Linked DNA regions of Lytechinus pictus. The protein of the gene in region 1 purifies or fractionates together with the protein of each later gene. This does not show direct contact. Links are inferred from orthologs where the notes say so. Each region holds a gene or a part of one and is shown on either strand. Other genes may lie near its edges. The genes, in order: ribosome biogenesis protein BMS1 homolog and RNA 3'-terminal phosphate cyclase-like protein.

Region 1 (16,598 bases):
TACTTCTGTCATGATGTAAGAGTCATTCGTCTACCAAGGCATGGTGCATCGTGTCCTGTAGGTCTAGGAGTTTCCTGCTCTGCAGACAGACAGGTATGGTGTCTTTCAAGACTGTTAATATGTGAAAAAATATCCTTCATTTTCATTTATTTTTGTATTTCTCTTTTAAGTGGGTGTTTCATAAAGCTGTTCGTAAGTTATGAGCGACATTACTAACGGCTGGAGACCCTTTCTTAGGAACTAAGTCAACACTTATGAAAATCTGGAGTACATGTATATCATTTACCACGAGAAATGTCGCTCTTGATTTACAAACAGCTTTATGAAATAACCGCCTAAAATCTTCATATATCTTTAACACAGGCCATTGGTAAGATAACAGCGGAAGGTGTCTTCTTGGAGCAGCTTGAAACCAACCCTATCAAGTACTTACCTGAGGTCCAGGAAGATGACCTGAGCGGTGATGTCATCAAGGTCAATCTTAACCAACCAATGGATGATATCCTCGTAACGCTGACCAAGCACCCCATCAGGACAAGGGTTAGCCTGACCGGAACGTTGGTGGTGGCCAGGGACATCGCCCATGCCAAGCTCCAGGAGCGGTTGGATGCTGGTGAAGGGCTTCCTCAGTACATGAAGGATCATCCAGTCTACTATGCAGGACCTGCAAAGACTCCAGAGGTTAGAATGATGATAATAATAATAGTGACAGGCACAAGTCCAGATTCTGACTTTTATGGGGTGCGAATTCGTCCCCAAAAAGTAATCAGTCAAAAATGAAGGATGTTTTGTCTCCCAGAAAGCATGACAAGCCTCTCCCCCCCCCCAAAAAAAGGGTCATCACTCATTTTACGGCAATAAGGTATTCTATGGGGTACACCATTATATTTTCATAGTTAATAGGGCGTGCTCACACCTTTAGCAACCCCCTGGATCTGTGCTTGAGTGATAATATGCATTATTTATGCCTAGTGAGTCAGAAAAAGACTTTCCACCTCAAAAATCGTTGATTTAACGAAAAAAACAATCATCATGAACACACAACTGTTATATGTGTCCCGAAAATGTACTGACTTTCAGATAATTTGATATAATATTTTTATGTGGTATATGTTGACGGTTGGATGATCAGGAGGTAATCTTTGCTGTGATGTAAAATTTCATTTGTGTCAGAGTAAAGCATGACTGTATGTCCATGAAGTCATAATCCTACATGGGTAGCAATAAATCTCATTGAAAAAAATCTTCAATTAAGTTGACATGAGAATTAAAAAAGTCTTAATTCAGCAAACCTTGTAATTATTTTTTTAGTTTTGGAGATAACTCTTTAATGATGACTACAGCCTGATGCACACTACAGGATCTGTTGCAACCCAATTTTAAAGAAGTTGTAATTGCATGTGATATGATATTTCAACCTATGCAATCTTAACGATGATAGTTCTGAATCGTGATATGAATACTAAATAAAAATTCCAGTTTATTTCTAGCCTCCCTGTAAGGACGGAAGCAGATTCAAATCCTAATCATAATGACTTCCTCTTTGGCTGCAATTCGAAGACGATTTAGACTTTACTCGGACCAGAAGGCTTGCAGCAAAGCATAACTCTGATTTTAGTATTCCAAGCATTTTGCTGATGTTCAAATAAATTTTACTTTGGAACTTTGAAATTAAATGCAAAATGTGATTAGTTAAAAAATGTGTCATAGTTACTTTGACCATGTGTTATGGCGTGATAGGCTTAAATATCTTTTTCTAGTTAGAGTTTGTGAGAAAATACTGTGTCTGATGATTTGTTGTCTTTCACATGATTATAGGGTTATGCGTCTGGATCTTTTGGACCTACAACAGCAGGAAGAATGGACTCTTATGTCAACTCGTTCCAGGCAGCTGGAGGGTCAAAGGTCATGTTAGCCAAGGGGAACCGAAGTAAAGATGTAAGTTCTTGATTGTTTAATTTGGTTAAAAGCTTGTTGTATTGGGGTTACAAGACATCTTGGTCAAAGGGAACAGAAGAAAAGTTGTAAATTCTTGATTGAATTTTTAGTGAGGCTCAAAGCTTTGTGGATTTGGTCAAAGGCATCTTGGAAAATTTTAACCTTTAACCCTCAATCTCCCGGGGTATTCTGATTCTTGTCATTCCCGGGGGGGGGGGGGGGGCATTATGGCCCCCCCTTAAGATCTCAGCCGTGGATTGCGCGATCACAACGAAAATTTGCATGATGGTAGAGAATGACGTAATCTACGCAGTTGCATTGGTAAATTTCACTGAATTCATATATTTTTATTTTATATGAATTAATTATGCTAATTTATTCATGAAATCCTACTTTTTGCTCTGATTCACTAAATAAAGCTCCTAGAATGCTATTTTTTGGTGAAAATATTCTTTATAGCATTCCTAACAATTGTGAATGAAAAAAATTCTGGTACCAAGACCGATTTCTTATGTATTTAATTGTTTTTTAAATTTCTTATGTATTTCCCTGTTTTTTTACTTTTTGTTTTTTATTGTTTTTTCAATGGAAATCGTTCCAGACTTAATTCTAATCATAAACAAGGCAAAATTAATTAAGTTTGATCATTAAAAGTAGAAATATGATACATTTATGAATTTTGGCCAAATACACAATTTGCATTGGATTTGTACATGAAATCACGTTTATGAGCAATTTTGGGTCTGACATGCACTTACATAATGTTGCGTAATGTCGTAACCGCGTACCCGGGCGTCACAAATTTGGTCTCAAAATTTGCGCGAGACTTGAAAGTAAAAAGTCAGTGAGCGGCGAGGTCAAAAAAATTTGCGCAGCAGATATATCGCAAAAATTGTCGAGGGGGGGGTTAAGATGCGTTCCTTTAATCTTTAATGTTTACACTGTTCGTTTTAACTTGTCTATCATTTGTGTTCTTGTATTTGGGACTATGTTTATTATTATTATTTTTTTTTAAGTATATAGGGTGATATTAATCTTTTCCACAGTAATCATGCAGGCATACTGAGTATGATCCATTTATATTAGTTGTATACAGGGACAATGTGTACTTACCAGTATTTGGGTATATTTTAGAGTACACCCTCATAATTTACCCCGCTGACTTCTAGAACTGGCTGGTACCTGTAAAAAATATATGAGAATTACAGAATTCAACAGTCAACGGGTTAATCCTCTTGTAAATCTGGGCCTTGTAGTAGTTCCTTTCATTTAATTTCCCTACATTTGCACTTACGAGCACCTAAGAAGGAAATAGTTATGACTAAATTTTTGTTGGTATTAACCAACTGCTGGTCTGAACCTGAAACCTTCCATGTGCGGGGCAGATGATCTAACCTCGAGGTCAGCTTAATCAGGTGCTTCTCTGACATGCCATTATAATCTATTAACCCATTGTCTACTGGATCTGGGTGGTCCATGTACAATGCCTGAGGGTATTCCAGAGTTCAGAAGTCTGATTAACCGATTTTCTACCCTTCCCTACTCTTGTTTCACAGGTCACCAAGGCATGTAAGACTCATGGTGGTTTCTACCTCGGCTCTATCGGTGGTCCGGCAGCCATCTTAGCTCAGAACTGTATCAAGAAAGTTGAGGTATTGGAGTATGAGGAACTAGGCATGGAGGCTATCTGGAGAGTCGAGGTGGAGGACTTCCCGGCTTTTATCGTGGTCGATGACAAGGGGAATGATTTCTTTAAGCAGTGGCAGGTGGAATGATTGATACCATTGAGGGTTCAAGAACTCAAGAACTGTAGACTGATTTTTCCATCATGGCTGGGTTTGTCCTTGAACATAACAAACGTTGATTCAGTGTCCATTGCTCTGCAATCATCCCGACTTGAGTACAGCTGGCATGAATATGGTGCTTTATTATTTTTAGAAACTAGATTAAAGCATGGTTGTTCCTACATATATGATGAAACAAAAACTTGTCGTTGTCAAAATTCTCCCCACTTTTAAGTCCTAGATTTTTAGCATGTATTGTGATTGTTAAATCCGAATAAATACCCTATATTATGCTTATTTGTTTCATAATGAAAAATGCAGTTCACTTTTAGTTTGGTCAGTTAGATACTTATTGCCCTCCCTTCGTGCAGACAGTCAAAGACATGGTAGTGATTACCTCACATGTTCCAGGCTTGGTCAGTTAGCATTCAATCGCTTGTAATGCTTTTCATTAACTGTCCGACACTTATATGACACGCATGTGTTGATAGTGTCGTTAATTTTTTAATTAATCAATTCATATGATCAGCTGTTTGATTGATTCTCAAAATTCGAAACATTGGGCAAGAAAACATGGCATTTATCATAAGACTGTCCTTGTTTCAAACTCAAGTCGATCGTTCCAAAATAGTCCTCCTTTCTTTCTTGACTTCTCAATCAACCCATCGCCTTCTGGAACTGGGTGATCCCTCTACAAATCTTATGGGATTTGCAGAATTCAGTAGTCAACAAGTTAAGTGCCTCTTTAATTCTAATAAACTTTGGTAGACTGATAGGTACAAAATAACAGGTGATGACCCTGGTCTAGAAATGGTCAAACATTCAAATTATATATTTTGCCTTCAGTGTATTGTATTTAATCATCCAGTTATACTGTTGTAAGATGTTTTGATGTAAGTTTGATATTTTACCATACACTGTATCTGCCAGTTATGCTAGATGGGAGTTGTCAAAGCTGTTCTGCAGCTCTGGGAAGCTTTTTTTAAACCTACATGTATCAAACATGATATCATTTGAGGTTAAGTATGACACACATTTTCCACTCACCCCATCCCTAGCTCAAGCATAGGGGTCAATGGGTTAAAAACCCACACTTACCATTCCGTGTGTGGAGGTTCATAGAGCAAGGGCATTGTATCACAAATTGATCTTAGGGGCATTTTAAGCAAACTCCCATCATTTGTTGTTGTAGAGATGAATCATACACACAATGAAAAGTGTGTAAAATTGTGCCGTGTAATGTCAGTTACCGTGAAAATGCCCTTAGGCAAATTTTATTGATTGATTGCATTGACCATTGTTTACTGTCAATTGTGAAAGTCGACTGTATGATCAACCTCTGACCATTGTGTCACAGGATCCAGAAGTTCGCTTAACCAGTTGGCTACTGAATTCAGAGATTCTCATAGACTTTGTAGGGGGACTGCTTGGTTCCAGTAGGTAATGGGTGAACCTGTTGATTACTGAGATTCCCATATTGCACAAGTATCACTCGGTTCTAGTCAGCAATGGGTTAACCTGTTGACTACTGAATTGTTTGATTCAGATAGGCTTTGTACAGGGATCATCCTCTTCCAGTAGGCAATGGGTTAACCTGTTGACTTCTGAATTCTGAGACTCCCATAGACTTTGAACACATATCACCCAGTTCCAGTAAGCAATGGGTTAACCGGTTGACAACTGATTTCTGTGATTCCAATAGACTTTGCACATGTATCACCCGGTTCCAGTAAGCATTTGGTTAACCTGTTGACAATTGAATTCAGAGATTCCAATAGACTTTGCACAAGGATCATTTGGTTCCAGTATACAATGGCACATATTCATTACTCAGGTTTAATTTGAACTCTGATCTAAAGTTGTGGTTCAACTATAGAAAGCCAATTGTGACATAAATCTCTAACAGTAAAGGTTCAACTTATCAGCTCGTTTGACACCCAAATCATTCATAGCAGTGTGGAAAGGATAGATAAGATAGTTTTTTCAGTATTACAGAATGAGGAAAGAGCTTAGTAAACATAAGAAACATACAATGTAAACAAAATTTTGACATTTATGGCTTCCCATAATTTTAGCACAGAGTTAGACCATGGTTTAAGGGTTAAACCAGGTTTCAGAATAGGAGCCAATGGGTTTAATGGAACAACCAATGAATAGAGAGGCTGAAGTTTCCAGTCTCTGCTTATACTGTATCTATTCAAGCCAAGGTCATATATCTTTTTGTATATCCTTATTTCTTCATTCATTCTATTATACACAGTTAAGTCTGCTTCCAAATTCAATATTCCATACATAAAATGATTGTCTTTTGTCAATTATAAAAACAAACAAACAAAAAACAGACCAGACCGGAGTATGCAAAATGCATCTCTGTAATTCACCTAATTTGTATTTCACTGAAGTAAACTTATTTCTGTACTCATAAGCAATTGGACTTGGGCAAAGTCAATAATCTGACACACAAAAGTAACCATTACGATGACAACTTCTTGCCTTAATTTTGATTGGCTGTTGAACATTGTAACCATGGTAGTTACCAATAGATGGCAAAGTTCTATCAAAGTAACTTTTTTGCAGAAGGGCCCTTTACTGAGGTTCCACTGATCAGCATTGCTCTCAAATGATCTTGTGAAATGAACAACCATGTACTCTGCTCATCAGCTAGTATATCAAGGGGAGAGTAAGTTTTTGCAGCCATGGTCACACTCTGCTGGCCTTTGCCTTGGTCAAAGTCTGAGTCACGTGACCTGGGGGCCGTTTCATAAAACTTGTTATATAAACAAATTTGCAATAACTTTTAAAAACTATCAAAATCCTTCAATCCGATCGGCTGATGGTACATTTGTTATAGAAATTGTGCATTTGTTATTATAACAAGTGTTTATGAAACGGTTCAAATATTGATGGAAGATATTTTTACTGAGTAGCCCTTCAGCTCTGTGCTGTCAGGTTTGATTTTATACCTGGGGAGCCTTTCATGAAACAAATAGTCATTGATTTTGCTATTGTTATAAGCTACTGCAAATCCTTTCATCTGATTGGTAGAGAGCAATGGTCATTGAAAATCTCTGACTGAACTTTTCATGAAATGCTCCGTGATATCATTACATGAATTTAATTTATGTAAATTTGTATAGAGAGATATTCTAAAGAATACATTACAAATTATTTGACATTTTATTCTTGTCGTTATTTTTAAGTCATTACTTGAGTTACTTGTTTTATTGTCAGTTTATTTGTTAATGATCTACATGTATATATATGGCAATTAATCTTTTTAAATTGTTGGTACTTGTTATTCAAGCATCTAAACAGCTGTTACATTAGAAGAATACTGAAGTTATTATTTAGAAGAAAAAAATATGTCCTTTTTTTTTTTTTTTTTTTGGGGGGGGGGGGGGTGTGCAAAATACAATAAGCTTGGTACTACCACTGCTTATCATAATTGACTCTCTCCCCCCCCCCCGACAGGTGTCTCAAGCTTTTGCTTGCTTTGCCAAATGAAAATTTGGTTTATAAACTGTTCATCTAACCATGTTATTATAGACTTATACCTCAGTCACATTTACTCTAAGGCGGCCGTACGGTGAGTAAAAAACAGCCGTTTTATTCATTTTTATTCAAACCATGTGTAACTTAAGTAATTGGTGCAAAAATGTTTAAACTTCAGTTTTTGAATCGCCGTACGGCCGCCTTAGAGCAAATGTGACTGAGGTAAAGTGATGTTACACTGAGTGGATATTAGATCAAATTCATGTAGCTTTACAGAAAAAAAGTGGGCTATAGAAATTAGTTCAAATGATTAGCAGATGAACTGGTTGTAGACAAAGTAGATGAAGTCCAATTGACAATTGACTGAAGATCATACTATTTTCTGTACTTGAAAGCACATCCCATCACAGTTTAGCTTAGAAAAAATGCTTTGTATAAATTGTCTATTAAAGGGGATGTTGATCACTCTGACAACAAAGTTTATAGTAAAAATGGCAGGAAAAATAATACAAAAATATCAGTGAATGTTTGAGGAAAATCCCTCAGAGATTTAAGAAGTAATTAGAATTCTATTTTGTTTTGATTTGCAACATCATATGCAAGCAGCTTCCCATGTATTGTGAATATTAAAAAATCTAATGAAATTCATTTTCTCAAGGAAATTGAAAATGGGTTTTATTGTACCTTCAGTATATCAACAAAACACAAATTATTTTAAATAAGCTCATCATGAACCATTAAAACATTACAATTTTTTTTCATTTTATGTTATACAAAACATATGAAGCAGCTGCTTGTATATGATGTCACAAATCAAAAATTGAAATTCTAATAACGTTCTTATTCTTTAATGGATTTTCCTCAAACCTTCACCAATATTTTGTACTATTTTTTCGGGTATGTTAACAAGCTTTTCGAACATCTGAGTGAGCTTCCCCGTTAAGGGATAAAGCTGCTTTCGATCTCGGCATCAAGTCGCCCAATTAAAGCTGACAAACTAAAGGAGCATATTATTGAAGGTTTGGTGGAAATGTATATCAGTTAATTATTTTGATGTCACATTGCAAGCAGCTGCTCTCCTGTAATATCAATTCCATCATCGTACTATATTTTCACAGAAAATTGAAATTAAATTTACCAGTGCACTTAATGATTTTTATACAGAAATTATTTTGCGTAACATATGGCAAAACTGCATACACCTTACTACATGACTGAGTTACTAAGGGCGAATGACTGAGGCCCTTTATGTACTCATGTCACATGATGTTTCCATTATATACAATCCACTTTGGTTCCAGCACAAACATGGAACGTGCGCCCTTCAGAAAGTTAATATGGTGGATACCATGCTCACATCATGAACTGTTAAAATGGACCCTAAACGAAGACAATAACATAAACAAATCATTCTCTGATCATGACCATCTGTCTCATCTTCCACATACCCTATAAATGCACCAGAATATATAAGCGTTTACAATGTCACAGTGGAGGACAGTTCAAACTAGCTGTGATAAATCATTGTATGTAAACACAGGTTTCCATTAAGCCAGTTCGTGGTTCCACTCGGTATGATCAGAAGATTCTGCGCATGATCAGAAGAAGGTCATTGGTACTATAAGTGACATGGTGGTTTAAAATTTATTAGCCAAAATGGCCTGTAATACTGGGTATGGGTTAGGAACCTTCAGCCTCACACCCCCGTCCAAACCGAATCCAAGTACCCCCCCCCCCCCTGGGCATGAAGTAACTATGAACTGGTCTATTGTTTGTCCTCTATCGTGCACTGTGACATCATCTGAAAGCCCCGGCTCCGGGCCTCGGCTAAAGTAAACACTATTTGTATTCAATTTTGGCAACTTTGATACACTTTCAACTGTACATGTGCACATCACCTGCCTGTGAAAAACAGCTCTGAATTCTTTTAATTTTCCTTGGTTTTGTGGCATTGCATGTCCCCGCCCCCCCCCCCCCCCCATCGGCCCCCTATCACCCCTATATGGCATTCCAGCTCTGCTCAGCCAAGGCCCCCTAATTTCTTTTCACAGCGATGATTTTCCATGCAGTTGCGATTTGAAGACACCACCAATCCACCATACACTATAATTACACACGTGTGCGTGCCGTGGAAGATCGCGTTTGTTTTTAACTCCGGTAAGTTGTTTTATTTTAAATTTAAAGTACTCTATTCTCCATTAGATTTCCATTTACTAGTAATGATTGTCTCCTTAAGGATGACTTGGATATTTAATTTGAAAGAATGTAGAAGTAGCGTTGCTGGTTTAGGATTTTTTTCTTAAATAGAATTGCATTCCTCATGTTCCTCGGTTTTCATTCTCGCAAAAACAGTGTGACGAGACCAACCATGCCAACGCCACGGTTCCGCACCATACTCTCGCCAGCAATTCCCGCGGACTGCCGATTCGACTTTCGCTGGAATTGTGCGGAACTCGTTAAAAAGTCACCTCGCCTAGTTCACTGCATCTTCTCTTTCTGACTTGCAATGCATGCTTGCACCTTCCCAACCTCCCACACAGAAGTTGTATTTAAGTAAATTTTGGCACACTCAATACTGTTACTCTAACTTAAGTTAGCACTTGACGTCGGGGTGACCAGATTTCACAAAAATAATACGGGACAATCGACAAACTTCAACAAAGAAGGCCACACAGTGTTAGACTTGTGAAAAAATATAAAGAATTGGAAGCAAGGGTGAACAAAAGAATGAAGGAGAGAAAGAAAGACGAAAGAAAGAAAAAATAGAGGGGAAAATAGGAAAAAAATAAAGGTAAGTTAGAATTAATTTAAAGAAGGAAAGAAAGAATAAAAGAGAAAAAAGGTTTCCGTCATTCTTTGAATTGAATATATTAGAAAGAAGGAAAAAGAAACGATGGGAAGATCAATAAATGTGTGAAAGACAAAATAAAGGAGAGAAAAAAAAAGAAAGTAAGAATAAAGGAGGAGGAAAGAAAGAACGAATGAAGGAACGAAAAATGTTTCCTTCGCTCATTCTTTGAAAGGAAGAAAAAAAGAAAGAAGAAAAAACAGGAAGGAGGGAAGGAAGGGAGGGAAAGAAAGAAATAATAAGGGAAAGGAATTAGAAGGAAAAATAAAATAAAGAATGAAAGAAAGGAGAAAATAGAGGGAGGAAAGAATGAAGGGGAGGAGAGAATAAAAAAAGAAAATAATGGAAAGAGAGCATGAACAAAAAGAAAAAGGAGAGGTAGGGAGAAGGAAGCCAAAAAAAGTTCAAGGAAAGAAAGAATGAAGGAAAAAAAAATTAATAAATAAGGCAGGTATAAGAGAAAGGAGGAAAGAAAGAAAAATGAACACAGAGAGAGATAGAAAGGATCAGGAATAAAAGATAGGAAATAATGATAAAATTTCAAATGAAAGATTGTCAACTTGAAAATTAGATGAAACATCGCGGCATCATACACAACAAGACTCAAAACGAAATCTGAAACAACTAGATCTAGTTCTGAATAACTTCTTCCTCCGATTACATCTCCAAATCAGTAAACTGAGAATCCATAATATAATTATACAAATTTCCTGCTGCTTTTGTGATTATTTTGGTGGAAAAACCATTTATCATGTCATTGTTTGCATTGAGAATCTGCTCCGATCCTACGCTACATGCCTAGCTAGCCTGCCTCACACAGGCAGGAGGCCAGTTCATTTGCAATGTATTGGGTTAGCAAGAAAATCACCTCAGAACTTGCAAAAGATTAGTTATCGATTTTATTGTCTCTGCTTTGTCATCTGCGTTATTTGATGAAAATTCGTCACTTTTAAATGTGTTGACTTCGTTTTGTTCAGTATTCTGAAATACGGGATAAATAGGCGTCCCGGGAAGGGTTTGTCGGGACGCCGGGACAAAGGAGCAAAATACGAGACGATCCCGGGAAATACGGGACGTCTGGTCACCCTGCTTGACGTCCAGGTGAATTAACTTTCCACCTTGTTCATGTTTGGAGAATATGTTGTGAGGAAAGACTATCCTTGGTTTCTGACTGGCATGATTGGTGCCTATACTATCAAAGATATAAAAAGAGCACTTTTTGTCCCAAAATTAAATGGGTGATCTTGGTCATTTCTGGACCGTCCTTCGGATGAAAATGTAGAAAAACTTATCTGTAAAGAGTTTAATGTTAACAACTTTAATTTTTTTGTTTCCCATTGGGGCCATGCTCATCTAGTTATGTCTGTAATGTTTTGCATAGAGCGCCCCCATCGGAGATAACAAAAAGCCGAGATACGTTGATTAAAGCCGATGGTTACTAACTACAAACCATCGTCTAGATTTATCATTTCTTGATTCACTAACCTTAATGACAGAACCCATGAACTACTGGTACTCAAACATACCAACCATATTTCACTGTCGACATGATCAATGAAATCAATTATAGTGATAAGAATAGGTTGTATTTCATATTTTCTTCTCATAATTTATCAGAGTTGTTAATTGCCTCTTGTAAACCAGGGGCCTGTTGCATGAAAGGGTCTTTCGTAGAACCATTCTACGTAAGAACGAGATATCGCTCAACTGTTTCACAAAGCCGATTTGGGCGATACGAAGAATGGTCCTTGGAAAGACACCTCCAGACATGTCCTACGTAGGCATGATCTTCTTTGCACACCGCCCGCCACCGTCGGCATTGAGAGAAAATGCATTTACGGCAAGCCACACTGACATATCACCTCTAAACATTTTTTGGTTGCACTCTGATGCATTTTATCTGGGATGGCGCCAAGTTATTTTTTATATGGGGGCTAGTTGTCATCAATTTCAGGTCGTCTTTTTGCACGGCAGGACGACCAAAAACGCGGGATGTCATTTTAACTTCTCCGGGGTACATGTAATATTCCCGGGGGTAATGTATAAAGGGCCAAATATTTTTTTAAATATGTTTTCTTCTATTCTCCCTCCGTCTTATCCCCACCCCTTTTCTATTAAAAAAATAAACTTGAAATACTTGAAATGGGCGGCACTAGGCCTATATCTCTTTAGCTGACCCCTCATGCTTTCTCATTATAGATAAACAACAAATTTCTTTAAAAGAAATTATGTAAGGTAAAAAATGTGTTCAATAACATTCAGCAAAAAAAAAAGACAAACAAAACTAAGATGTTAAACATGCTAAATCATTTATTTATTTTTATTTTATTTTCATTATAATTATTTTTTTTTGCTGAGATTTATTTTAATCAATGAAAATTAATTGTTGGATTTGAAACAGTGAAACAAAACAAAAAACCTGCAGCTAATATTGAATTTAAGATACAGATTAAGCCTATAGCTTACGAATCCATCACAATCATTACAAATGAAGATAAGTTCATTAAATAAAAGATTATGGAAAGTCCATACGAAGAGGCGCATTTTAAATCTTAGGGTAGGCCCCTTTCGGCCCTTATGTCATAGCGTATATAGTCTCTATACTCCTTAACTTTGAAATGTTGAACATATATATTTTTTATGTTATTTCTTAAACCTTATATTCTTATATAAACTTCCATAAATTAAGTGATCATCTTTAAATATGACCAGCGTTTATGATCGTTGTCATATTTAGCATTATTTCTGTAAAAGTATTTTTTCCATTGTGGATTAATTCACACCTTTTTCTATGTTTTAATTATTATTGCAAAGTACTACTTTATCCACTTGGACATGTTTGCAGCAATTTTCATATTTTCATTTTCTTCTGTTACTCACCATGCAACTGAGGTATGTTTATACTCTAAACACTCACATTTTTCTTGCGTTATATCTGACAAATAAAATAAATAAATTAGATTTTTCACACGCAGCCTCTCATATTTTCCTTTTTAGTCTCATACAATCAGACACTGTTGATTTTATTTACTCCATTCAAACCCTATATTTACCTTAACAAATAACATATTAACGCATAATTTGCAAAATTATCATTATATACAAGTATTCTATAAAAATACAGGATATTTAACTAATAAATGTCGAAATTACTTAGTTAAATCAATTTTTATGTCGGACAAGGGTCTCTTTCGTTGAAATATCAATAAAAGGTGTCTCTAAAAAGACACCGTGTTCTAATTAAGGGAAATAATGAAAATTTCGATTTTATTTAGTTATGTTTGTGAATCTTTAAAGTTTTTTCTCTTTTTACCTCATAAAGTAAGCTCCATACATCAATTCTACTATCAGTAATAAATAAAACATTATTTGATCTCCTTTTATTGAAATATCGGATTTTATGTAAAGTCGTCATTCAGAAATAAAAGGTTCAGGTGACGATGAAGACTAAATATTTTTCCAATACTATCGATATCAAACGATGTCGCGGACTTGGAAGACAAAATTGCCTTCGTGAAACGGAAAGCGCTGATTTGTCGCCAATCTTCCTATCTCGGAAGAATGGTCCTAGGACGTTCCTACGTATCGCTCATCTCGTCATGCAACAGGCCCCAGAGGCTTCCAATTGATGCATGTTTAACTAGGCTGCGATTTAACTCTGCTAAAATTATGACAAGCTGTGAAAATGTCAAATATTTGTTTAAATTGTTCCTTATTTTTACTTTCTTCTTTCACTATGTTTTAATGGTGGATACAACTGTGTTAGTCTTCATTCTCATACAGTTCTAAATTATTTGAGTCATATGATCTGATATTTTCAATCTGTGTTATTATTGATATGTGTCACAATTGGCTTTCCATAGTCATACAACAATTTCGACCAGAGTTAGATTCAGACCGGAGTTCAGAATATGGGCCATTGTGTTTGGGTTCTTACCACACTTTGACTTTTTAATTATCCAGTGCCCCATTGCATAAAAGTTACTATTGTGGTAACTTTGCCATCCTATGGTAACGCTGATCAACAGCCAATCAAAATCAATGATTCAATGCAAGTTACTATTGGATGGCGAAGTTACCATAATAGTATTTTTATGCAACAGGTTCTGGTCATAAATCTTACTCTGTTCCCTTTGTGTTTTCGGTTTTTTTTGTAGACCAGTGTGCCTTTATTGATCACATCTTGGAGAATTCAACCAACCAAAAATCAAAATGGCGGACGAGCAGAGACCTCAGAAGAGTCATAGAGAGCAGAAAGCTGGGAGGAAGTTTGAGAAGAAGAAAGCAAGGACCAAACCAGTTGATGAAAACATGACCGCCCGTCAACGCAATCCTAAGGCTTTTGCCATCCAGTCTGTGAATAAGACAGCCCGCAAAGTTCGCAGGTATGTTTCCTTATGCTACAGCCACGCAAGTGAAACTGACTCCAGATTGACAAAAGCTATTATGTTACCGGTAGACAAACAGTTCGGAGTTGGTTGCATTGGAGCGCCTGTAGCAATATTACGATGTTGAGGCCTAAAGCCTGTCTTAAATTCTGATGATATTATATAAGGATCAATAATATGAATTAGGTTGAACTACAGTATGATTCATGTGACCATTATATCATTTCTCAGACTGATTCTGTATGATTTTTATTTTTCAGTTGTATCAATTCTTTCTTCTTTTTTTTTTTTGGGGGGGGAGGCTGTGATCAGAATGAGAGCCCGTTCTGGAAATGTTTAATTGTGTTTTTTATAACTTCAAACATTTTTGTTGAAGATTTAATGTTTACATTAACAGAATTCTGTTTATGAACAAAGCTATTTTTTCCTAAAAATTCTGCCCCATGCCATGTCTTACAGCTGGTTGTGTGCCAAAAAGAAAATGCATTTAAAAGAAAGATATGGATCATCTTACAATTTTTGAACAAAAAATTTAATTGTGATTCTAACCTATGAATATTAGATTTTAGATTTCAAATTACACTTTTCCATTTAACTCTTTTTTTTTTTCAGGACACTTGATATAAAGGAGAAGAAGCATCATATTCCAGTCGTTGATCGCACGCCACTCGAGCCGCCTCCTGTCGTCGTGGCTGTCGTTGGTCCTCCAAAGGTCGGGAAGACAACATTAATCCGCTGCCTCGTAAAGAACTTCACTCATCAGAACCTAGCCACAATCCAAGGACCTGTCACAATTGTATCGGGTAAAATCATTAGGAATTAATTTTAGTCACTTTTTCTCTCCCCCACGGAACATTCTCAGTTGATTTGTGATACTGGGTCCTCTCCCGTACTCTACGGTTTTTGTCTCACCTGCAAAGCAGAGTGAGACTATGGCGCTGCTTTTCCGACGGCGGCGGCGGCGGGGTCAACACCAAATCTTAACCTAAGGTTAAGTTTATGAAATGACAGCATTACTTAGAAAGTATATGGACCTATTTCATGAAACTTGGGCATAAGGTTAATCAAGTATTACTGAACATTCTGCCTGAGTTTCAGGTCACATGACCAAGGTCAAAGGTCATTTAGGGTCAATGAACTTAGACCATGTTGGGGGAATCAACATCAAAATCTTAACCTAAGGTTAAGTTTTTGAAATGTCATCATAACTTACAAAATATATGGACCTACTTCATGAAACTTGGACATAAGGTTAATCAAGTATTACTGAACATCCTGCCTGCGTTTCAGGTCACATGACCAAGGTCAAAGGTCATTTAGGGTTAGTGAACTTGGGGAATCAACATCAAAATCTTAACCTAAGGTTAAGTTTTTGAAATGTCATCATAACTTAGAAAATATATGGACCTAATCGCTAGAGGGTATTCATTTGTCTCGCAATCTACTATGGTCAACAAGGAAATTCGTGATCACTCTCGCAAAAAGTGTTCACTAGCTTTCTAGGAAATTTGTGATCACTCTCGCAAAAAGTGTTCACTAGCTTACAAGTTCACGAGCTTTCGAGTGCCGCTGCAACTCTTTATCAAGTGACGAAAATTATCTGATAACGAAGTCTATTTATACCAATCCCAAGGACTGTAAGCACGAACGCGGGAACAATGGGTGGGCACTGATCCGTTATGTGATTGGTCGGGCGTATATGCAAATAAGCCGGAGGTACATGCAAATACGCCGTAAGTCGGCAATATGCAAATAAGACAAAATTGGCGGGCTCGCTAGTTTCCCGTGGGTGGGGGTTGACTAGCTGAGCGGTCCCTGGATCGGGGTCGGGAACAATCGGGTCGGCGTGACTGCCAGGTAAGGGGGTATTGTGCTGTCAGATGGTTCGCATCCAGAAATCGGGGATGTCGATCCCGCTGTCTCTGTTGAAGTTGTTAGGACAAAGATGTATACTAATAGCCTCCTTAATCCTGCGTGTATACCAATGTCTTTCTTTGGCAACGCAATGTACACCCTCCCAATCTGGGTGGTGTTGCTTCTCCCAAGCATGTTCTGCCACCGTGGATGTGTCGGTTCGCTGTAACCGAACATCGCTCTTGTGTTCAGAAATGCGTTCAACTATCGGTCGGGCTGTTTCACCGATGTAAG
Region 2 (16,982 bases), on another chromosome or scaffold:
GGAATGAAATAAATTATCAATCAATCAATCAATTTCTTTATAATTGCCGTTCGTTCTTTTGCATGTCTTTCACTCATGTATTTTAGATGTTGTCATGAAATGCATGTATGTAAATCCCGAAATAAATTTCCTTTATGGAGCTGAATAAATTGAACTGAATTCTGATAGGTATTTCCCTACAGATGGAGGCCTTGGGGCCATGCACTCCCATTCATTTCCACGACCAAAAAAAAAAAGGAGAAAAAGAAAGAAAAGGGAATGAAAAGGGGTGAAATAATTGAGTGGTAGGCCCGCCCTATGTCGAAAATCTTTAATAAAATCAGATTTATTTTGCATTAAAAAGTCCCCAAATTTTTCTCGCTCGCAGCATATTTTGAAATGATTGCCCCAAACTCAGCTGCTATGTCTGGATGGCCCAAATGTTTTGGCTCATACGCTGATTGGTTCAAACGCCCTCTGGAGGGCAATTGTGTACAGTATACAAACTTCTCACGTGTGCAGGGGAAGATGACTACCGAGGGTGGAATTTTGAAATATGAGGGCTGTAACTTCTTTCGCCAACGCATGGTCCTTGCAACACTTAGTGGAAAACCTATCTGTATTAGCAAAATTAGGCATAAGGATGATGACCCGGGACTAAAGGGTAAGAGTCCGTAGAATTTTAACCTCTGATCTTCTTGTTGAGTGAGATTTTCATAGCCCCATACGCTGCTTTTCGTGTTTGCAGAATGATGGGGGATTCCGCCGCCGCGGCTGCGGCGTGGCTAACTTCAGTAGAGCCTGTAGCACAGTGGCAAATTGTCCATAGACTTCTTCTTCTTCTTCTTCCTATATAAGTACATACGGCATAATCGTGATATAGTCCCCAAATCCAGAAGTGGGGCTTATTAGAATCACACCTACCAGAACGCATGAAAATCACTTCCTTTCTCCAGAACACAATCTCCAAGTCCAACTCTCGCACAACTCTGTGGCAAAATGATAACACACACAAATGAAACACATTGTATATAAACACTAGGATTCTCTCCCTATTATATACTCGTGATACAGTCCCCACTCAACGGGAAATCAAGCTTGATTTTCACGGCGGTGGGGACAGTTTCAACAGTATGTTGTAAATCGGATCAAAAATCATATCGAAAATCGGATCGGCAGTTAAGCTTCTAAAATCGAAATCGAATCGAAAATCGAATCGGCGATGTTTAAAAACAAAGGAATACATCAAAATGTTGTTCGCGGTCGCGCGCATCTTCCTGACAAAGTCACAAAGACGAATGCATTGAAATGGAAGTCGCCAACATGCGCGATCGTTTGGAACATGTTTTAAAGCCAGGGGTTTTGAGGTGTTATTGCTTTAAAATAAACCGAGTGATTTTTATTAGAAAGATAAACGAAAGACGCATCTTCCGAGCAAAGGCGCAAAGGAAAATAAAATGAAAATATTTCTCATAGATCACAGGTTAATGAACGATCGGCGGGACATCTTTTAGGAGTATTTTTAGGTGCTATAGCGATTTAGAATTATTGGAATGATCTCTTACGACGCATCATCTTAAAGTCGCAAGTGCAATTAAAATGAAGTAGAAGACGCAAGCACGCACGATGATTTGAAATATGTTATTAAAATGTTTTGGGTAGCTAGCGTTTTCAAATCAATTTGAAGTTCACGGCGGGGTCCGCTATCACCACGAGGTTGAAGAGAAGATGTATATCATCATAAAGGGGGTAAGAGAGTAGCGCAGTGAGCTCCGTCGGTAATACGACCTTTCAAAGTTCACGGCGGCATCCGCTATCACCACGAGGTTGAAAATAAAATGTATATCATCATAAACGATGTAAGAGAGTAACGCAGTGAGCTCCGTCGGTAATACGACCTTTCAAAGTTCACGGCGGCATCCGCTATCACCACGAGGTTGAAAATAAAATGTATATCATCATAAACGATGTAAGAGAGTAACGCAATAAGCTCCGTCAATAGTACAGTCTTTAAAAGTTTATGGCGGGGTCCGCTATCACCACGAGGTTGAAGAGAAGATTTATATCATTATAAAGGGGGTAAGAGAGTAGCGCAGTGAGCTCCGTCGGTAATACGACCTTTCAAAGTTCACGGCGGCATCCGCTATCACCACGAGGTTGAAAATAAAATGTATATAATCATAAACGATGTACAGTATTGCTCGGAATAAAGTTGACGCTTTACCGCGCTGTACCGCGTAAGTCGATGTGAAATCGGGTCGCGCGCGATTACCACCAGCAAATTTCCATCGGCGGGAGTCGCACTCTGAGAGAAATTACCACGGTAATGTACCACGAGATTTTTAATTGAAAATCTCGTGTATTACCGCGATAATACCGCAGAAGGAGGGACGATCTTCTGTCGAAGAGATATTGATTTGATAATTAATAAAATGTCACCATTTGGACAACTCACATGGCTCGAATTAGCCCTCCTGACTTGCCGCGATGTCTCTCGAAATTACGATGTACAGCAACAACTTATTGCCGTAAGATGCCGTCTCCTCGAAACCCAAACAAAAAAAAATCATAGAGCTGTTGAGCTTGGCGCGAGTGCACAATTTTAATGCACGCTCGTGTCATCGCCCTCAAATTTACATCTTTCTGAACTTCGTTGAATGAAAGTCGGGTCGAGATGAGATCGCGTACTTTCTGGGATAAGTAGTTAATAGTTATAAGAAAATGGAGCATCCAAGATAAGAATGGACAGAGTCGAGCAAGAGAAGGAGAGAGCGAAAGATACGAGAGACAGATGGAGGGGGAAATGATCAAGAGAGAGAGAGCAAAAGAAAATGGAGAGAAAGGGGGGCGGGGTGGCTAGATTAAGCAAGAGACGCCGAGGCTGGAAAAAATAGACCTATTGTTTATTTCCTTACATTCCTTTATCGTCATTCTCTTACTTTGTTTGCAACCAGAATGATTTAATTTCATCATATTTTCAGTGCATTATTGCCAAACATTCTTCCGCCATTATGATATAAGGAATGATAAACTCCTTTTTTTCTCCCACCACTCGATCCAGTCACACAAACACAGGACGTACAGGGCTTAATTTGATTGCAACACGAATGTCCTCGACTTATGCTTAATTACAATCAGTGTTCTTTTCCCTTGTTTCCTCATATTTTATTTTTTATCGTTTTTGATGTTGATATATTTCCATTTGACCCATGTCTCACTCTTGAATTTCTACTCTATCGCTATCTCAGCTCACTTCTCCCTCGATCCCTACCCTTTTTTTCTACTCCACTCTTCTCAATCCTTTTGAATCCCTTTTTTTCTGTGTATGTGTTTTTTTTTGTTATGCGACGCTCAATCTGGTGTTTATGAATTAACAAAGAAAAAAAAAATTAAGTGTCAATTTATTGTCACCCGATTGTCATAACCATATATCTTTATCAATTTTTATTAATCTTCATTGTTCGAATGGTAGTTTTCAGAATTGTTTTTATATTCTCTCCTCTCACTGAATCACGTCACCTCTGCTGTCATCTCTTGCTCGCAGTGGCGTACCTAGGATTTTCCAAAGGGGGGGGGGGCAAATTCGTCAAAAAAATTGACAAGCAAAAAAAAAAAGGTCTTCGACCAGAAATAAAAGATATTATACCAGGAAAAATTTTGACAAGAAAAAGAAAAATAAAGGGCTTCAACCACAAATTATGGATTTCATATCAGAAAAAAAATTGACAAAAAAAAGGTCTTCAAGTTCAAAGGAGCGGGCCATCTGTATCTCGCTCGCTTGTTAGGGGGGGCAGGGATACGTCTCTTGCATGGGTCGTGACTCATCAGGGGGGGGGGCAGTCTGTACCCTCTGCCCCCCCCCCCCCCCCGTAGGTACGCTAATGCTTGCTCGACTCATTTTTTCCCTTATCATTCCTTAGAAACATGCATTTGATTTGATATATAGATGTATATTTGTCAATATAAGTAAAGATTTGGTCTTAACTAAGACCCAACGGTGGATTAGCCTGAAGGCACGAAGATGAACCACTGAAGTCAGACAATGGATCACATTGGCCTGATTAACATCAGGTCAATTAACTGTAAGTATTATATCTTCGGTTATGTTTGCTTACAAATTCGCCCATGTGCACGTACTAACGTCAGGTCTACATCTTTTTAAAATACAGACAGCAAATTAACATTTACATTGTAATTGTTAATTTGCTGTCTGTATTTTAAAAAATGTAGACATAACGTTAGTATTTGCATGTTGTAGACTTACTCTTCTTCAGTCCAATGATGCAGGTTTCGTATTTCTTTATGATAGCATATCCAGAATAGAGGTAAATCGGAGCTCTGCACTGTCATAATCATGAGCATGGGTTAGACTAGATCTACAATCCTACTCCTAGTCGATATTCTCAAATAGATCTTTAGTGGTACTAGATCTTTACTAACTTGGTAATAATATGGCGACTGGGCATAAAAAGGATCTGACTGGACATTCACATTATGACAATCGAGTAGAATCAACATTATTAAAATTGCTTGTGCCTTGTGAAGGCTTGTAATTGTAATGTGCTTAACATATCCCTCACTCGTCGATATCTGCATTGCTACAAAGACAAAGTAAGCATATATGGGTATACGATCAACGCTAGGCCTGGGCTTAACCAAGTCTTGAAGAATTGTACTACTTAACTTAGTACTAGCTAGCTAGCTACCATCACACGGTCACTAGTACGAGAATAGTATACGGTAGCTAAGCTAGGTAGTCATCGTACGGTACACTACGGTACCAGTAGGCGGTACATGTGAGCAGAGGCAGAGAGGACAGTGACAGTGCATATACTTCCGATTTTGTCTCTAAAATGGACGTCCATCATTAAAAAAATACAATACCTGTATCATTTTACCGAAGAGAATGAGTTTAGATTCAGTAACAATCACCGGGATAGCACAAAAAGCACGAAATACTTTCTATTTGGTGATTTTGTTGTAACTTAGTTCAAGCAATCTGATTTTCTTTCGAGCTCGTGCATTTCTGGTACGGTATCTGCAAAAGCATAAACGAGTACTCGCACGAGATGGATTTTTTCTTTTAATTATAGTATGATTTAGGAGTAAAATAAAATAAATAGATTATGCCTAATATCAACGAGAAATACTACAAAAAATAAAACAAGTTCTAAGAGGCATAGCGAGAACTTTATAAAGAATGGGAACAAGTACTAAGGAAAATTTTTCTGAAATTGAAAATCCCATTTGAAATCGAAACAAGCAAAATTTTGAAATTAAAAAAAATGTGAATTTGAGCCGTAGAGGATGGGGGGGGGGCATAAGCACCCTCCCCCTTTCAATCGAGAGTCATTAAAATATTTGTTGTGGTAAATATCGGACATACATAAGTGAACTGACCCATGGCCGTATGCAGAAATTTTTCGCGGGTAGGGGGGGGGGGTGGGCAAGATGCATAAAATATAAAAAAATTGAAAGGAAGTGAGAAAAGTGACCGAGCTTGTCATTGCGTCTTTCCATTCTGTAAAGGGCAATTGAAGCATTTCGTGCATGCCTTTAATTAATTTTGTAAAAAAAATAAAATATTAAGTTTTCAATATCCCCCCACCCCCCCCCCCCCCCCCCGCTGCATACGGCCATGAACTGACTTTTTTTCGTTTAGGTTTCTTTTTGCTTTTATGTTCAGATTTTTCGTGGAATATATTACCTTTATTTGGGAGTGAAACTCATTTTTATCAACTTGTAAGATTTTACTGAATAAGCATACAACCCCCCGGGCCCCGTTGAAAAAGCTGGATCCACCCCTAAACTTCAGTAGTGATATGATGTGATTAAAATTATTAAGGGAGCGAATGAGGGAAAACCAAGCAATAAAACAATAATGGAAACAATTATGTCCGGAAGTGGCAGTATACTTAAATAAAAAAAAGAAATATATCCAATTAAATGACATTAAATTGCGCAGTACGTTTTTCATGAATGTGTATGAAAAATGATTAAAGTAAAACAATCAGCTAGAAATGTGGAAAGACAAACTTAGTTTGAACATCGGGTATAGTCGAGGACGGCCTGGCATCAGCATGGGTGAGGGGGTGGGTTACATGTATTTCTTTTCTTATCAGTCGTTCCAATTTATCCATCATTTGCTTTCATTTAGTCAGTATCAACCTCTCTTGTTCTACACGTACACATACGCCTGCTATATATATATATCTTAATTTCTCTTAATCTCTATTAAGTCAATCCCTTTATTTTATTATTCAATATCAATAGTTCCGGTCCTCTTTTCTTCTATCGCTCTTAATTTTTTGTTGAATATCTTCTACGTCTATCCTCTTATTTTATTCACTATCAATTGTTATTGTCTTATCTTTTATTCTTCTACCGTTCTTGTTCAATCTCTTTTAAGTCTATATACATTTAATTATTTTATTTCTTCAGATCATTCTTTCCTTTCTTCTCTCGCATTTCTCTTTAACTTCAATCGTTCCATCAGTCATACATGTATAATATGACGGTACAAGACTCTTACATTGTTTTATTTCTTCAGTATCAATCTTCCCTATCTAATGTGTACATTATTTTATACAGATATTAGATAAGATCAGGAATGTCTACTCGTATATTAATTACTCTTGAAACGTGGTTGAATTGAACAACCCTAGCTATATGTGGACTTGACTGGGGTCAATTAATTACACCGTCTGGCGCGTTTTGTGGACAATGAATAGAGGTGTGAAGATTAAAGAACAGCTAACAATGAGAAGACTGTAAGTTACACAATGATCTTTTGTGTAACTGTTTGAATAGAACATGTATTAAGCCGGCCCACTGATCAGTGATTAAGCCAGTCTATGATCAATGCCCACCCCCAAATTGTCCAATATAGTCGGCATTTGGGGGCCCGGAGTGGTGATGAGAGTGACGATGATGGCCATGAGAAAAATGATAAGGAGGAAGATGTTGATATTGAAAATCAATTATATTTTTCTGTATAAAATCACCTGTTCTTGATAAAAAGAGAAACAATTACAATAAGTCCAGGTTGTCTGTTCTATATAGACGAACAGTACACAGGGCAACATAAAATGAATATAAATAAACAAATTAGCAAGAGATAATATGCACATGGATTAAAACGAGTCAATTCGTAAAAATATATCATTGCAACATTTTATTAATATTACTAAAATACATTAGGGAAATACGTTTTAAATGCTAAACGTTAGGAAAATGTATTATAGCATTGAGAAAACCATACATTTTATATGATTTTAACATTTCCCTTAAACATTTTCATGTTTTACCAAACATTTTTTTTGATATTTTGTCAATGTTTTTTGTGTTCGCTCGGGTTACACGGAAAATGGAGTATATTGGTCAAGCAAAAAAAGTGGAAGGTGGTGACTTGACCTTTTGACGCTTGTATCATATACACACCAAATAATATAAGCCTCGGGTTAAAGGGATGGTCCGGGCTGGAAGTATTTATAACTTAATAAATAAAGTAGAATTCACTGAGCAAAATGCCGAAAATTTCATCAAAATCGGATAACAAATAACAAAGTTATTGAATTTTAAAGTTAAGCAATATTTGGGAAAAACAGTCGTCATGAATATTCATTAGATGGGCTGATGATGTCACATCTCCACTTGTTCTTTTGTATATTATTATATGAATGAGGTTTATTCAAATTTTTTCCTCCAAGAAGTAGAAAAATTGGAATGACAACTGATTTAGTGCATTGATATTTATTGCTGCAACTTATTTCATTATAAGGGAGACATATTATTCACACAAGTATGACATAACGAAAAAATTATGATTTTATGTAATAACATAAGAAAACGGAAAGTGGAGATGTGACATCATCAGCCCACCTAATGAATATTCATGACGACTGTTTTCACAAAATATTGCTCAACTTTAAACTTCAATAACTTTATTATTTGTTATCCGATTTTGATGAAATTTTCGGCATTTTGCTCAGTGAATTCTATTCTATGTAATAAAATATAAATATTTTCAGCCCGGACCATCCCTTTAAGTTAAACTGGAGTTATCATGTTTATAAGGAAATGTTAACGAATGGAGGGACAGACGGATACCGAGCGTGATACCAAGTTACGTCTCGTCTTATACGGGCGGGCGTAAAAAGACGATATATTACTTGTAGGGGGAGGCTGTTGCTGGAATGATGGACGGAGAGAAAGGGAACAGAGTAACACAACATGCAAAAAAAATATTTAAGGAAGATACAAGGGGGGGGGGGGACTGAATAAGATTTTTCAGAAAGTGCTGATGCTAGGCATTTAAAGAAGGGCCACTTGCGGGTATTCTTTTTCCGGGAAGGGGGGGGGGGGTTCAAGATAGCCGATCGAAGAGAAAAGTGGGCGAAGTAGGAGGAAGAAGACGACGGCTAAGAGAAAGAAATAAAGGATAAAGAAGATAAGGATAAGAGAGAAGCAACAGATGATATGGTGGATGAACGAATGAACATGGTAAAGATAAAGGTAAAGAAAGAAGAACAGGAACAAAAAGAAGTGAAAGACATAAGAAGAATTGAATGAGGAGAATAAATATACAAATGATGATGATGATATTGTTAATTAATATCTTTGGGTATAAAATCAACTGTTATTGATAGCGAAAAAATGAAAAATGATGGGAAGCGAATCATCTTTGAATAAAAGACGTAACCGATAAAATAAACACACAGAATTGATAAACACAAAACGATGGAAAGCAAATCTACTCGTTCTTTGAATAAACAGACGAAACTGATTAAATTAAAACACAGAATTGATGAACAGGAAAATGGAAAGCAAATCTACTCGTGCTCTGAACGTCATAATGATGGAAAGTGAATCTACTCGTTCTTGGAATGAACGATGTAACTGATAAAATAAAAATACAGAATTGTTGAACAGAAAAATGATGGACAGCGTTTCTTCTTTAGATAAAAGACGTAACTGATGAACAATGAAAACAAAACACAGAATTGATGGAACTCAAAAAATGATGGAAAAGGAATCAACTCGTTCTTGCCATGAAAGATGTAACTGATAAAATATACAGAATTGAACAGAAAAATGATTGAAAGCGAATCTTCTTTGAATAAAAGACGTAAATGATGAAATTATTTAAAAAAAACTGAATAATGATGAACAGAAATTGGGAAAAACGAATCTACTTTCCTTTGAATGAACGACGTAACTGATAAAATAAAAATACAGAATTAATGAACAGAAAATGATGGAAAGCGAATCTTTGAATAAAAGTCGTCAGTGATGAAAAAAAAAAACAGAATATTGATGAACAGAAAATGATGGTTAGCAAATCTAGTAATATCTGTTCCATTCTTAATGGATTTCACATCTCATTGGTTGTGTTTTTTTTTTAATGTTCTATAACTATGATTAATTCTAACTTGATTCTAAATCTCTGTTTCATAACTTCATAATAAAACTCAAATATGAATTATACTCGTCCTTTGAATTAACGTCGTAACTGATTAAATGAAAAAAGGGTCAATCAATGAACAGAAAAATGATGGTAAGCAAATCTACTCGTCCTTTGAATGAACGACGTAACTGATAAAATAAAAATGCAGAATTTATGAACAGAAAAATGATGGAAAGCGAATCTTTGATTAAAAGACGTAAGTGAGGAAATTGAAGAAAAAACAGAATTGATAAACAGAAAATGATGGTTAGCAAATCAACTCGTCCTTTAAATGAACGATGTATTACTGATTAAAAAAAACAAAAAAACAATGAACAGAAAATGATGGAAAGCGAATCTTCTTCTTTGAATGATGAATAGAAAAATGATGAAAATACTCGTTCTTTTGAATGAAATACGTACCCGATTAAAATTACAGAATTGAAGAACAAAAGATAAAAAATAAAAGATAGAAAAAGATTATCTACTTGATTTGATTTGACTTTATTTTACATATTTCACAAGTACAAACAAAATTATGAAAATAATATCAGAAAACTTATGAGAATACAAATCAGACAACAATTAATTCAAATTAAAGAAAATAGCGATTTGGAATTAAAGACAATTTAAAAGAGTGAAATATGAGGGAACCTGCATAAAAAGCAAGACTTGTCCTTAAAACGGAAGACGTCTTTGATAACATAAACACTGAAAAATAAACCATGGAGCTAGCTCCACAAATAAACAGTGGAAAGATAATCTACTCGTCCTTTAAGCCAAAGATGTAAATATAACTGGGTCACTCGGTCAGGAGCTGGGCACATGGATTTCTAGCGGGGACTCGTCTGATGCGCGCGCTTGAGGCAGTTTTTCAACCCGCTGTCTAGCTATTGGGAATTTAGGATTTTCAACCCGCTGTCTATCGGGTTGAATATCTTGAAGTGCAAATGACGGGATGGTGAATTAAAAGAGAATTGGACTAAGTGGGTTTATCCCGAATGTTGTTAGCCCATCTGATGATTAGACCAAGTGATAATAGACCATCCATCAGTAAACCGACGGGATTGCATCGGGATTGCGTCGTGTTTTGACAAAAAAGTGCCTAGAGTTGAGGCGCAAACTACATGAACAAATAGAGATCAAATCTGAAAAAATCTCGTGTTTTACGTGAGCATTGGGCCTCTCTTCTGCCAGCTGCATGCGTGAAATTGACGCGTGAATTTCACGCGCGAAATCGGCTGGTGGTAATTTTTTGGGTCACGCCTGTCTCGCGGTAGATGCGTGACCCTTCGGAAGGGTGTCAACTTTATTCCGAGCAATACTGTAAGAGAGTAACGCAGTGAGCTCCGTCGGTAATACGACCTTTCAAAGTTCACGGCGGCATCCGCTATCACCATGAGTTGGAAGAGAAGATATCTATCCTCTTAAACATCGCCATAGATAATACCGCGTCTTTCTCCCTGAATAATGCGACCTCTAAATAGCTAGCACCTCGATTTTTTCCTTCAAGGAGCATGATCGAAGATCGGCAAGTGATTGCCGATTGTGGTGAAATCGAATGGAATCGGTTGCCGATTGCAAAATCGGTTACAAGCTTAATAGTATACTCGTGATCCAGTCCCCACGCTATGGGATACACGGTTCACTTTGCACGCAGTGGGGACAGTTTCAACAGTATAGTATACTCGTGATCCAGTCCCCACGCTATGGGATACACAGTTCGTTTGGCACGCAGTGGGGATAGCTCCAACAGTATATTATACTCGTGATACCGTCCCCTCACAACATAAAATCGTGCTCGTTCAACAAGGGGATGGGGACAGTTTCCCGATGCATTGTGACAAGGAAAAAAACACCTTTGGGTATGGTTGCGGAAGCTGGGGGGAGGGGGGGGGGTTTCCCAATGCATTGTGACAAGGAAAAAGCACCTTTGGATATTACAGGGGCCGCGAAGGGGGGGGGGGACTTTAGCCCCCACCTTTTTCCAAAACATAAACGTAAAAATGTGACCATGGGATTATGATTTTTTTTGCATGGTCAGCCCCCCCCCCATTTTGAAAACCGTTCCGCGGCCCCTGTATTATTGCCATCATCATCATCATTATTGGTAATATTATATTATCATTATTATCATTATTATTGTTGTTATTATTATTATCAAAATAATGATATCATTAGTATAGATATTCTTTATCATTGAAAATATGCCCCTTCCATCCATTCCGTTTCTTGTATTTCACGTAATTCCTTCAAATAAAATCGCTGTAGACTCATAACGTTTGGTATTATTGTCATAATTATTATCATCATTATTATTGTTCTTTTTTTTCTTACTGTCATTTATTTTTACTTATTATTATGATAATTTCGCTTTACTATTATTATTCTTTTATTATTTCCTATAACAATGATTATTCTTATTTTTTATTATTATTACCATTGTTATTATTATTATTATTAACCTTATTATCATAATCATAATTATCACTATTATAAATATTGTTATTCTTTATTATAAAATTACCTCATCATTATCATTATTGTTGCACCTTTTCATTTCCGTCACATATTTGTATTGATTCCTTTATTGTTTTGTGGTTGACTATTTTCGTGTCATTCTTAATTCATTCATTCTTGCACCCACCCCCACTCCGAGTTTGCTGTTGGAGCCTTGTGCTTTCCCCCCGCATTAATTGTTGTAATTTCTTCCTTTCCAGACCCACTTTTACAAATCATTTCTTAAAGAGTAAAAAAGTAACAAAGATCCCCAATCTCTTATTATTGTTAAATAACATGGAAATATAGCGTAGTCTTTCCTCCAGACCCAGTTATAAAAATCGTTAAAAACACAACAAAACAAAAACCCTGAAATCTTATCAACATTGAATAGCACAGAAATATGGTGTAGTCTTTGCTCCAGTTATTTCAAAATAGGAAATCATGAGTAACAATAAAAACAAACAATATTAATTAACCAAGGCCCCCCTAATATTATTGATGTAGAATAACGTTGTTGTTGTTGCTGTATTATTATTTATAATTTTGGAATAACTGGGTTTGGAGAAAAGACTAAATTCGATTTTTAATTTTTATTCCACTGGAATATCATTATGGTATCTTAGTTTGGACTTATATGATAATTTTTGAAACAACCGGGTCTGGAAAAAAAAAGACTTTGGACTTATATTATAATTTTTAATTAACCGGGTCTGGAAAAAAAGACTTTGAACTTATATTACAATTTATACTTTGCACTTTTATGCTATATGAAGGCATTTATATAGGATTTTAGTTCAGAATGATTCACAATGTTTTGGAAAAAGGTAGGGGCTGAAGCGGGGCTGAAGTCCCCCCCCCCCCTCCCTCAACTTCCGCAGCCATACCCTAAAATGTTTTATCCTTGTCACAATGCATCGGGAAACTGTCCCCATCCCCTTGTTGAACGAGCACAATTTTATGTTGTGAGGGGACGGTATCACGAGTATAATATACTGTTGGAGCTATCCCCACTGCGTGCCAAACGAACTGTGTATCCCATAGCGTGGGGACTGGATCACGAGTATACTATACTGTTGAAACTGTCCCCACTGCGTGCAAAGTGAACCGTGTATCCCATAGCGTGGGGACTGGATCACGAGTATACTATACTGTTGAAACTGTCCCCACCGCCGTGAAAATCAAGCTTGATTTCCCGTTGAGTGGGGACTGTATCACGAGTATATAATAGGGAGAGAACCCTAGTGTTTATATACAATGTGTTTCATTTGTGTGTTATCATTTTGCCACAGAGTTGTGCGAGAGTTGGAGATTGTGTTCTGGAGAAAGGAAGTGATTTTCATGCGTTCTGGTAGGTGTGATTCTAATAATCCCCACTTTTGGATTTGGGGACTATATCACGATTATGCCGTACATACCACCTGTGGTGTATTGTCTATCCGTTGTTGTACTGTGTACAACAACGGATAGACCGTCTCGGCTCAGCGAATTGGAGACCGCTGATTGGCCAATCGCGCAGATCACGTCATGACTACGTGGTCGCCGAAATAATTCCTTCGGACTGCGTGCGAAAGTAGTTTTGACTTGAGGACGCAATGATGATAACTTTTAAAATAATCAAATATACTTCTTCATCATTGACGTCTTGACACTCTTCCCATACTTTTAGTCGCAGTTCAAGAGAAGGACCAGAACAAAGATGGATTTCCCTCGGAAATCCATCTTTTGAAGAAAAAAATCACTTGAATTTTATGAAGTTCATTGTTGATTTTTACACCTTCCTACGCCTAATGGGTAGGAAGGTTTTAAAAATTATAATATAAAAATGTGAAAAAATTAAGGTTTCTGACCTAACTGATGTCGAGTAGACCCCTCAATCCACATGTAAACAACGTAAGTACAATAGCGTCAACCCTTGAATGGCTTATGTATGACGTACTTCCGGCTAGCGATGCCGTTCTGATTAATAATTTATAGAAAAAAAATATTTCGCAAATGTTAACATTTATCACGTAATTATAAATAATTAGTATAATTATTTATAATTACGTGATACATTTAACTTTTGCGTCAATCATTTGAATAAAAAATAGCAAAAAATTTAGTAAATAGTAAGGACCTCCCTCATCACTGATGTCAAAAAATGGCCCGACAAAATGCCTCCTTGTTTTTAAAGAAAATAGTAAGATAGCAAATAGTAAGGACCTCCCTCATCACTGCTCTCATAAAACCCGGACGATCAACTATCTTTTTTTACTTGGCCTAAAAGTATTTCTACTGTACGTAGGCTTACTCTCCATGAAGCCTGGGTCGGGATACCATTGCTCTCTATATACCGTAGGTTTTCCCACGGTGAAACTAGACCTAAATCACACATTTTACTTATCGTTTTGAGCCCAAACTAACGTACATGGGCCAAAACAATATTTGATAACATTGCATATATTTATTCAATAAATAGTAGTATATTTGAAAAATAATGAAGAGCATGAGTGTTTACTTACCCAGTCTGTTTTCGTCGCCATCTTGCCTTCTTTATTGATACCTACATGTAGATACCGCACACGTGTCTAGCTGCCAACTTGGATTTTTTTAAATAATTGCATCGGCCGATAAATATCATGAATCGTAAAATTCTTGCATCGGCCGATAAGTATCATAAAGCGATTTTTATGATATTGGTGGAATTTTATGATTTTAAGGTGGTTAGCTGTCTGTGTACAGGAGGAGTAACAAAAAAAAACTAAAACATCTCCAAACAGACAAAGTCCAGGTGTCTAAGCTATAATTATCTGACTGTCTTTATATAAAAGCAAGGTTCTTGCTAAGAATGTGTGAGCTCACAAATGGGCTCAATTTGGCCCCAGAGCTTTTAATTGTAAAATATATTTGTAATTATCATTTTGATGTAAATATATGAATATACTATTATTTCTTTTGTCAGACTTTGAAGCAAGCTTCATCCGTCTTCTGGATAAGATTACTAATGGATCGTATATTGAAGTTAACCAGACAGGTAAGATTCAAATCACCGCTTCCCATTTTTATAAGATCTCATAATGCACTGAAATTATCCCTTTGTCCTCATAGTTTATTTTGACAAACCGATAATCAGCATGGGAAAACCAACCGATCCCGTTCAGCAGAAGTTGAACTCTTAAAAATTTTCAAAATCTTATAACATATAACAAAGGTATTGAATTTTTATTTTCATCAATATTTTGTAAAAACAATTATATGCACGCCGTCACAAATATGCAATAGGTTGGCTGATGATGCCATGTACCAACACTTCTTTTTCCTATGTTTACATGAAATTCTAATAATTTCATATTTTCATTAATGTGTGTGTGTGTGTGTGTGTATGTCTCCCTGATTACAAATAATAGTTGCAACAATTATTATCTTATATATTAAATCAGTAGTCAATCTTATTTTGTTCATTCTTGGAGGAGATGAGGACTGTAGGACAAAATGTGAATAAACATACTTTCATATAGTAAAATACAAAACAATAAGTGGAGATATGATATTTTCAGCTTGCTCATTGCATATTCATGAAGATATGCATAAAACTGTTTGACCAAAGTAAATAATGCAAAAAAATAAAATGTCATAATAACTCTGTTATTCCTTGTCCAGTTTTGAAATTTTCAGTGTTTTGTTTGTCTGATTTTTTTTTTACCTGTTCAAATCATATTGTTTTCAGCTCGGAGTGCCCTTTTAACTGGGTCCTCTGACATAAAGGTTTATGATTTCTATTGTGTATGATCAATCATAGAAATCAGCCTCACAACCAATATTCAAAGGCTCTGTCACATCGCTCCATGCAAGCTTTGTGCGTGACTTGCGGACGACCTCAGGTCGACTGCATTGACAGTATGTTGCACGCATCTCACTCGCAGTTGTCCGCAGAAGCGCACACAAGTCTGATCAGAAAAGTTTTGAACATGCTCAGAACTTTGTTGCGGGTGAGTTGCGGGTAATTGCCCGCAACTTACCCACAAGGCTTGCACGGAACAATGCAACAGGACCTTTAATTAGATATGTGGTAGTGGTACAGGCACCTAACTTATGTTCATTTTTTTGTTTTCTTGTAGGAACCCAAGTGCGCTACCAGCCTGGTCTTCTTGTAGGAGGTAGCATAGAACATGATTGCAACATTCAGAGGGCTCTAGGATATTACATGGAAGCCTTGATCTGTCTCGCTCCGTTCGGTAAGAAGCCGGTCAAGGCTGTCTTGAGGGGTGTGACCAATGACCAGATTGACCCTTCGGTAAGTGAAACTTTGTCCAGTCAAGACTGATTTGTAGCAAAAATGGAGGAAGAATTTTAATGTGGGTTTTGCTTTATACAGTGAGTATAAGACAACTAAATTGGGAGTCTTGAAAGTCTTTTCTTTGAACTAAGAATTTTTGGCAATATTTTTTGGCATATTTTTTGTAGATTATGCAATTCCTTTCATAGAACTAAAGTCAAATGTTGTTGTGATTGCTATCATTTTTTTATTTAACATTAAGCGAAAAAGAAAAATTAATAACAATCACATGTTCTTTAATTTATTGATATGAGTTGAAGGAAGAGCAAAGGAACAGTTTATGTATATTGTTAAGATGTAATGCAGAAATATTGTTTCTGCTGGTCAAGTACTATGACACCGTCTCATTCTCTGAAATGACAGAGTCAAGAAATCAAATGCTGTCATTGTACTTCTACTTCCTAACTTCTCAGTCAAGCTTGGCTAAATGATATGCTAATTCCTTCATCAACAGAAATAACTCTGGAGATCGCTGAATCCATATTTTTCATCTGTTAGATTATCAGATTCGACATCTTTGTGTATTTTCGATTCGCTTTGAACTTAGAAGCGCATTTGTCTAATATTGTTTAGATGGTAATTGTTGCATAAAACGTACATCATATGATTTAACATCTGGCAAGTCCTTTCATGAAACACTTCCACGTTCTTTGGAATCTAAATCTGTGTCAAGGTTGATCAAATCGACCAATGATGGAATTCCAATGGTCAAAAGCTTGTGTAATCACTTTACAAATTACA

What was found.
Region 2: the proteins of ribosome biogenesis protein BMS1 homolog (region 1) and RNA 3'-terminal phosphate cyclase-like protein purify together in Homo sapiens (co-immunoprecipitation; 4 studies listed by BioGRID and IntAct, with this or other methods). This does not show direct contact. The link is inferred for Lytechinus pictus from reciprocal best matches to the Homo sapiens genes BMS1 and RCL1.

What each region holds. Positions count from the first base shown.
Region 1 is NC_087258.1:1,714,179-1,730,776, reverse strand, and holds the start of ribosome biogenesis protein BMS1 homolog, read left to right. Parts: upstream 1-9,284; 5' UTR 9,285-9,371; intron 9,372-14,219; 5' UTR 14,220-14,274; coding exon 14,275-14,447; intron 14,448-15,062; coding exon 15,063-15,253; intron 15,254-16,598. Other genes in the region: fumarate hydratase class I, aerobic-like, read left to right, coding at 1-93, 364-681, 1,819-1,938, 3,495-3,713. UniProt on the Homo sapiens protein: GTPase required for the synthesis of 40S ribosomal subunits and for processing of pre-ribosomal RNA (pre-rRNA) at sites A0, A1, and A2.
Region 2 is NC_087255.1:7,777,758-7,794,739, reverse strand, and holds the start of RNA 3'-terminal phosphate cyclase-like protein, read left to right. Parts: upstream 1-10,801; 5' UTR 10,802-10,941; coding exon 10,942-10,955; intron 10,956-13,215; coding exon 13,216-13,274; intron 13,275-14,867; coding exon 14,868-14,939; intron 14,940-16,023; coding exon 16,024-16,199; intron 16,200-16,982. UniProt on the Homo sapiens protein: As part of the small subunit (SSU) processome, it plays a role in 40S-ribosomal-subunit biogenesis in the early pre-rRNA processing steps at sites A0, A1 and A2 that are required for proper maturation of the 18S RNA.